2 linked regions of the Macaca mulatta genome follow. The protein of the gene in region 1 interacts with the protein of each later gene in a pairwise test. Links are inferred from orthologs where the notes say so. Each region holds a gene or a part of one and is shown on either strand. Other genes may lie near its edges. The genes, in order: RBSN and EHD1.

Region 1 (3,810 bases):
GCATGAGATCCCTGCCTTCCTAGGGTTGAGAGCGGCACCGCCATGGCTTCTCTGGATGACCCAGGGGAAGTGAGGGAGGGCTTCCTCTGCCCTCTGTGCCTGAAGGATCTGCAGTCTTTCTATCAGCTTCACTCACATTATGAGGAAGAACACTCGGGCGAAGACCGTGATGTCAAAGGGCAAATTAAAAGTAAGAGGCAAGGACCTTGCTGGGTCATATATATACTATATAGGACCTTGCCTATACCCTGCTGTCATTGAGAGCTTTAACTCACGGGATAGTTCTCATCAGCTTCAGTGTTGCCTCGGGAATATGATAACAGTAGTAGCAAACAAATGACTAGTGTTTGTCATGTGCCAGGCATTTTCAGAGTCTCCCTGTTTATTTATTTCATTTAATCCTCACAATAACTGTGTGGCTGTGAGCCACATTTTGCACCAGACACAAAGAGATTAGATAACTTATCTAAAACCACTCAGTGAAACACAGTTTGACTTTGAATCTAGTAAATGTAATTGCTGTGATCTGGCTTGACTATTCTCTAACTACTAGCCTAATAGAATTTGGAGAGGAATTTCTTCCTTTGCTATGATGATGGAGGCACATTATGCACCCATTTTACCTGTCACAAATTTAAGCCTACCCACCATCCTTCCTTCCCCAACTGGTATCTTGCCCTCTGTAGCCCAGAAAAAGGAAGGTCGTAGTTGAAAAACAAAAGAAACAATCTGAAAACCTTGGTTTTTGAGCTTCCAAGAGCTCAGATCTGAGAGAGTTGTGGAAAGAATTTTTCAAAGGTAGTTTTGACTATACATATGTTTATTGTATTTCCTGGACATCAAATTCTAACCTCCAGATAAGATGCTTCTCCTCTGGGCGGGCACAGTGGCTTATGTTTCTATTCCCAGCACTTTGGGAGGCCAGTGTGGGTGGATCACTTGAGCTCAGGAGTTCAAGACCAGCCTGGGCAACATCGCGAAACCCACCTCACAAAAAAATTTTTAAAAAAACTAGCCGGATGTGATGGTGCACGCCTGTTGCCCCAGCTACTCAGGAGACTGAGGTAGGAGGATCGCTTGAGCCCAGGGAGGGCAAGGCTGTAGTGAGTGATGATCGTGCCACTGTTGCCTGGGCAACAGAGAGAGAGAGACCCTTTCTCACACACACACACACACACACACACACACACGCACAACAAAGATGCTGCTCCTCTGGAACTTATTTTTGTAGTTTTCAGCTAACTTGCTTCTCACAGCTGGCAGCATTTCTGAAGGCCATGAGATTAAAAAGTTCTGGATGCTGTATTCACAGTCTTTATTGGGAGGGAAAGAAAGGAATGACCATATATTTCTAAGTGTGCTTTGGCTTTCTGACAGGTGACTCATATGTACTTTGTAATCACATAGTTGTCCCTAGAGTCCCACTCTATCTCACTTTTCTGTTCAGTAAAAAAGAGTTTCTAAAAGCATAAACAGTTGCAACTTCTATCCAAAAACAACAAAGGCAAACATTTCTGAAATCCTGAGGGCTATGGTGGATGAGGTGGCTTCTGGCTGTAGAGGCTGTAGAGCAGAGCCAAAACTATTAGGAGGGGAAAAAAATGCTGTGCTTTATAGTTTTTAGAGTTTATTTCACAGACATTATTATTTCATCTGACTCTCCTAACAACTCTGCAAGAAGGTGATTGGTCTTATTTTATAGATAGTAAGTGAAGTGAGGCTCAAGAGATGTTGAGTTACTTATCCACGGTCACACAGGAATTGCAGAGCTAGGCCTGGAATGTAGGTCTTCTGTCATCTCTATGTCCAGTGCTGCTGTTTGCATGTGACATCACAGGGTGAGAGGCCCCGTGTTTCAATCACAGCGTGCATTGCAGCTTCCTGGAGGAAATGAAGCAAAAACAAAACTGAAAAACCTGATTATGTAAGTTTCCTTTGCCAACCAAAGGAAGAGCCTCCATCATTTTCAACTAGCTTCCAGTCTTGGTGTCAGCTGAACTAAGTCATATACAATGCCATTGCTAAAACTGGTGATGCCAGTGGGTAGAGAGGTTAGAGAATGTTCCCCGATTCCTTCACTGACCCTTTTTTAAGAGGAAGAGTGTTTAAGGTTATTTAGAGAATACAGATACGGGAATCTATTTAAGGAATACTAAATAGAATGGAAATTTTGTGCCTTATGAAAGAAACTTGAAAGGATCCTTGGCTGGGCACAGTGACTCACACCTGTAATCCCAGCGCTTTGGGAGGCCATGGCGGGAGGATCGCTTCAGCTTAGGAGTTTGAGAACAGCCTGGGCAACATAGATCCTGTCTGTACCAAAAAAAAAAAAAAAGAGAAAAAAAAATTTTTTTTTTTAGTTAGCTGGGTATGATGACATGCACTTGTAGTCCTAGCCACTTGGGAGGCTGAAGCAGAAGGATCCCTTGAGCCCATAAGGTTGAAGCTGCAGTGAGCCATGATTATGCCACTGCACTCCAGCCTGGGCAGCAGAGTGAAACTTTGACTCAAAAACAAAAAACAAAATAAAGTTACTTCAGCCAGGTGCAGTGGCTCATGCCTGTAATTCTAGTACTTTGGGAGGCCAAGGCAGGAGGATTGCTTGAGCCCAGGAGACCAGACTGGGCAACATAGCGAGACCATCTCTACAAAAAAATTATTTAAAAAAATTAGCCAGTCATAGTGGCACGCACTGGTAGTCCCAATTACCCAGGAGGCTGAGGTGGGAGGATCGCTTCAGCTTGGGAGATCAAGGCTGTCACATTCTAGCCTGAGCAACAGAGTGAAACTGTCTCAAAAAAAAGAAAGAAAAGATCCTCTTGGTTTACCCTTTATCTCCCACCCTGCCCTACCCCCTGCATCTCTACCTCTAGTACTACTAATGATCATATCTTTAGTTAGAAAGGAATTCTTGATTATGTTGCAGTTTTCTGCATTTCAGAATCAGGAAAGTAAAGTTTTAAGGATTGACATGAAAGGTTTTTTGAAAAGCCCTTTAGAAAGCAGATTACCTCTCCATTTGGTCTTTTGATTCTTAGAAATGTTATGACATGGTTAGTTTTAGGCAAGTGAAAAGTTAAAGCCAAAAGAGTGAACCTTAGTATTAGTTTTTGGGGGCAGTTCAAAAAAGAAAAGATAGACTAGTCATTAGGAAAAAGTTTGTGGATTCGAGACCCAGTCCTGGTTCAGCTCCAGTTTAGCCCATTTTCAGTAAGTAGAAGAAAAGATAGCTGAAAATTGACTGTGGCTTCTTGCTTTGTTATTGTTTTTAAAAATATATGGGATTATTCTTAATTGACCTCCTGTGGAAGGGCTATGTCCATTCTGGGAAGATTGCCAGGTAGTTTTGCTGTCTCCTAATGTGGTTAATGGTATAGATTGCCTGTTTAACCTGATACTCTAGTCTTGTTTGCAAAAATGAATTGTTATTTGCTAACTCACATTCCTGTTTGCTAGACCCTTTGTTCACATCAGGCAGTTTCCTCTCCCCTGTTACTAGAAAAGACTACTTTAGGCCAGGGACAGTGGCTCATGCCTTTAATCCCAGCACTTTGGGAGGCTGAGGTGGGTGGATCACCTGAGGCCAGGAGTTTGAGACCAGCCTGGCCAACGTGGTGAAACCCCGTCTCTACAAAAAAAATACAAAAATTAGCTGGGTGTGTTGGCATATGCCTGTAATCCCAGCTGCTTGGGAGACTGAGGCAGGAGCATCCCTTGAACCCCTGGGAGTCAGAGGTTGCAGTGAGCTGAGATAGCTGCCATTGCATTCCAGCTTGGGTGACAAGAGTGAAACTGTCTTAAAAAAAAACT
Region 2 (3,910 bases), on another chromosome or scaffold:
CCTAAGTTCCCACAAGATTTCATTGTTGCACCCACACTTCCCCACTTCCCCGCATAGGGAATTTTCAATTTCACTTCCCAAAACGCAAGTGACCAGAGGGCCTCAACTTCCTCATGTCCTCCTGCCCTGCCCCAGCTGTAACCTCTGTGGGGAAGCCTTCTCTTCTCCCGCGCGCGTCCGGTGTCACCCATGTCCTCCCCCGCTTGCGTCCCTCTCCCACTCCCACCCCTTCGGCCTGAGGGGAGGTCAGGCCTCTCGCTGCCCGTCAGTTTGCCCGTGTGCCCGCTTCTCCTTGCCCATTTTTATTTCCCCAGTCACCGCCCCGCCCCGGATTCTCTACTCCCTCAGCTTGCTCTGCTACCACTTTCCTGCCTCTCCCTCTCCCAAAGCAGATAAAAGATGAGGGGACAAAGACTGTGTGTGTCTGGGAAGCTGGGCAGAGACGAGTAGGTGCCGCGGGGGTACTCCGATGATTCCGGGGATTCTGAGCCAGCGGGAGGACGGCACGTGGGGAACGGCGGGCGCGGCGCGTAGTCAGGGAACCAAGGCACTGGGCACTGGGTGTCTCGTGGAGCCATCCCGCGGGGGTGTGGGGGGTCCACGGTGCTGGAAGGCGCGCAGGCCCACGGACCGTCGCCGCCTGACGCCTGCTCCTCGCCTTCCTAACCGCAGCACTTTCGCGAGCCTCCACACGAGGGGCGGGGCGAAACAGGTACGGTTGCCACGGCACCCGGACCACAGCCTCGCGAGATTTGGAATCAGCCAATGGGAGGTGGGGGAGGGGAAGACGTGGCACAAGTCTAAGGGGCGGGGCCGGGAGGGGCTCCTCCCTACCTCTCCCAACTGCGCCCTGCCCCCGCCGCGGCGGCGCGAGCCGCCCCTCAGGGACTGACCCTATAAAGGCCGCTCCGCGAGGAACGCGCTCCATTCGGCAGAGGGCGCTTCGGCTGGCTGGGCTGTGCGCCTGCGCAGTGTGGGTCGCTTCTCGTCCCCTGCCCTGGCCTGCGGCGCCTCGGCTCCGCGCCCACGCCCCGCTCTCAGCCGCCGCTCTGCCCCGCAGCAGCCAGCCCCGTGTCCGGCAGTATGTTCAGCTGGGTCAGCAAGGATGCCCGCCGCAAGAAGGAGCCGGAGCTCTTCCAGACGGTGGCTGAGGGGCTGCGGCAGCTGTACGCGCAGAAGCTGCTGCCCCTGGAGGAGCACTACCGCTTCCACGAGTTCCACTCGCCCGCGCTGGAGGACGCTGACTTCGACAACAAGCCCATGGTGCTCCTCGTGGGGCAGTACAGCACCGGCAAGACCACCTTCATCCGGCACCTGATCGAGCAGGACTTCCCCGGGATGCGCATCGGGCCCGAGCCCACCACCGACTCCTTCATCGCGGTCATGCACGGCCCCACTGAGGGCGTGGTGCCGGGCAACGCGCTCGTGGTGGACCCGCGGCGCCCCTTCCGCAAGCTCAACGCCTTCGGCAACGCTTTCCTCAACAGGTACCCACCCATCACTCCAGGGGGCGGGGGGCGCGGCCGGGGCACACACCGCACTGGGAGCCTGACCCTCCCGTGGCTGTCGCCCCGCCGTCCTTTGTCTCCGAGGCCCCAGTGAGACCCTCAGTGATCACTCCCTGGTCCAAGGGCCCTGCCGCTTCCCAGAGAAAACCCGCCGGTTTTCTAAGAGTGGGCGTTGCCCGCTCCCCCAGCTTCTGTTGTCCCCAGAATCTTCCAGGTTAACCACCGAGCCCTCCTGCAGATCCCAGCCCCACTCCCCTCAGAACCAGGGCCGCGGTGGGAAGCTGAGCCATTCCTGGGCTCCTTTTCTTGGTCTCCACCTCCTTCCCGCAGACTGGATGCACCTAATTCATGGAAATCAACCCTCCCTTCCCTGTCTCCTTAAGTGTCAATAGCAAAACACAATGAAACTTTTAGTCATTCCCTTTTCTGGTGCGGGGTGGGTCTGCTCTGCCTCCCCTGGGAGGGTGGTTTTGTGTAGGAGGGAGGAGGAGGATCTACTGTGGCTTGCTGACTTTGGGGCAGCCCCTTGGAGGCAGGGGACAGTTGAGGTTTGAACACTTCTCCCAAAGGCAGCTCTCAAGAGGTCAGTGCTGCCTTGAGGGATTTCAGGAAGCAGGATGAGGTGGTGGCAGTGGGAGCCCTGCAATGAGATTCTGGCCCTAAGCCCTTCTGTGCACTGAGAGACAGAATCTGAGGTTCCTGCACCCGCTTGGACCTCATTTTCCCAGTGAAGTGGCCTCTGTACACGATTAGAGTGATCTCCAGGACTCTGCCTCTCTCAGTGCTGTGAGTGAAACACAGTGCCCCCGCCCCTCAAGGAGTGCAATGGCCAGGCTCACTTTTCTCCAAAGAAACTTGAGACATCCCGGTCCCAACCCCCAGGCATACCAAAGTACTTCATACGAAAGGACTACCTACCAAAGTACTTCACAGACCCTGCCCTCCCTGCCGCCCACATTCACGGACTCCACATGCCTTTCAAATTCTGCACCAGGGAAGCGCCTCTGAAGGAATCTTTGAATCCTGCCTTCCAGGTCGCCGCCCTGCGTGGTCACATTCCTTTCCAGATGCCATCTAGCCGTGCAGGGCAGCTTGCCCTAGAGCCAAGCCGGTGGCCAGGCCTACTCCATGCACAGAGCTGACCTTCAGCAGGGTCTGTTGCCACTTCCAGTCATTTCAGACCGCCCTCCTGTTTTGTGGACGTTGATGTTTGTCTATCAAGGTCAGGTTGAGTGCAGCTCTTTGGGCTAGGGGCCCTGAAGAGGCAGGGTCCTCTTGCTCTGACCTTACCTCGTTTCAAGATTTGTGCTTTGCGCACTGGTAGAGAAGTGATTAGCTGAAACCATTAGCTGGTGGGAGCCATTCGACCCTGTGAAAAGTTTGGCGGCTGTGCCAGAAAGTCCAAGTGTTCGGTCTCTGCTTCCATGCAAAACTTTGGGAAACCGTGGGAAGGGTCACTGCCCCCGCTGCCTCTGCTGTCCTGAGCTCTTCACTTTCCTTGTGAGGGCACACCTTTTTTGAAAGGAGAAACATGGCACAGGACCAGTTTTCTGAATTTGGAAGCCTAGAGTTTCAGAGCTGGAAGGATCTTAGACATCGTCTCCGCAGCTTCCACCTCACTGGTTCAGGAAACCGAGGCTCAGAGGGTCCAGCTGATTTGAGGAAGTCACCCCTTAGGTCAGCCAGCACTGACTGCCTGGTTTTTGCGCAGCCAGTTACTGCCTTCTGCTGCTTCTACCTGAAAAAGAGCAATTCAGGATTGCTTTGTCCGAGACTGGTGCTTTGATGACTTTGGTGCCACAGGATCTGAGAGGTGGCACACGTTTATTTCCTTCTTGCTGCCACCTCATCTCCAGAGGATCCCTGATCACTGATGGCCTTGCTGAAAGGGCCCTGTCAGCCCGCGCTGAGGCCCCGAGCTGTGTCAGGATGTGTAGTGTGGGGAGTGTGCCCGGCGAGGAGGGTGCAACAAAGGGGGCTTTTCTCTGGCTGATACAGCCTCTCCCGGCTGAGTCTTAAAGAGACTCATTGAGTCGTGAACTTGACTTTCCGACCTTTTTCCCATATGTGGCTGCTCTAAGAATAAAATCAGCTGGAGCAGACCAAGGCAAGGTGCAGTCAGGGTGTCGTAAGAGTGTCTTGCGAAAACTCATTGCATAACTGGGACTGCCACCTGTGCGTCCTTGGTGAAATGGAATCAGAGGCATCTTTGCTGCTTGCTGCCTTTCTTGTTTTCTGCCATATACCCTGGGCTCTGCAGAGCAGCTGGTTTCTGGGTCCTGTAGATATTAACTTGCTTTCTGGGCTCATTTATGAGGCATTTTTACGTATGTGACTTGGCTTCCCATCCTTCTATTCTGTAATCATCTCTCCAGCGCCTCCTGTCCCCAGCAGGAAGGCCA

Evidence for each region.
Region 2: the proteins of RBSN (region 1) and EHD1 interact in binary tests that used the Homo sapiens proteins (3 or more experiments, as listed by UniProt). The link is inferred for Macaca mulatta from reciprocal best matches to the Homo sapiens genes RBSN and EHD1.

Annotation. Positions count from the first base shown.
Region 1 is NC_133407.1:153,898,202-153,902,011, reverse strand, and holds part of RBSN (rabenosyn-5), read left to right. Parts: 5' UTR 1-42; coding exon 43-190; intron 191-3,810. UniProt on the Homo sapiens protein: Rab4/Rab5 effector protein acting in early endocytic membrane fusion and membrane trafficking of recycling endosomes. Required for endosome fusion either homotypically or with clathrin coated vesicles.
Region 2 is NC_133419.1:9,513,604-9,517,513, forward strand, and holds the start of EHD1 (EH domain-containing protein 1), read left to right. Parts: upstream 1-991; 5' UTR 992-1,060; coding exon of another isoform or gene 1,061-1,083; coding exon 1,084-1,487; exon of another isoform or gene 1,488-3,910. UniProt on the Homo sapiens protein: ATP- and membrane-binding protein that controls membrane reorganization/tubulation upon ATP hydrolysis. In vitro causes vesiculation of endocytic membranes. Acts in early endocytic membrane fusion and membrane trafficking of recycling endosomes.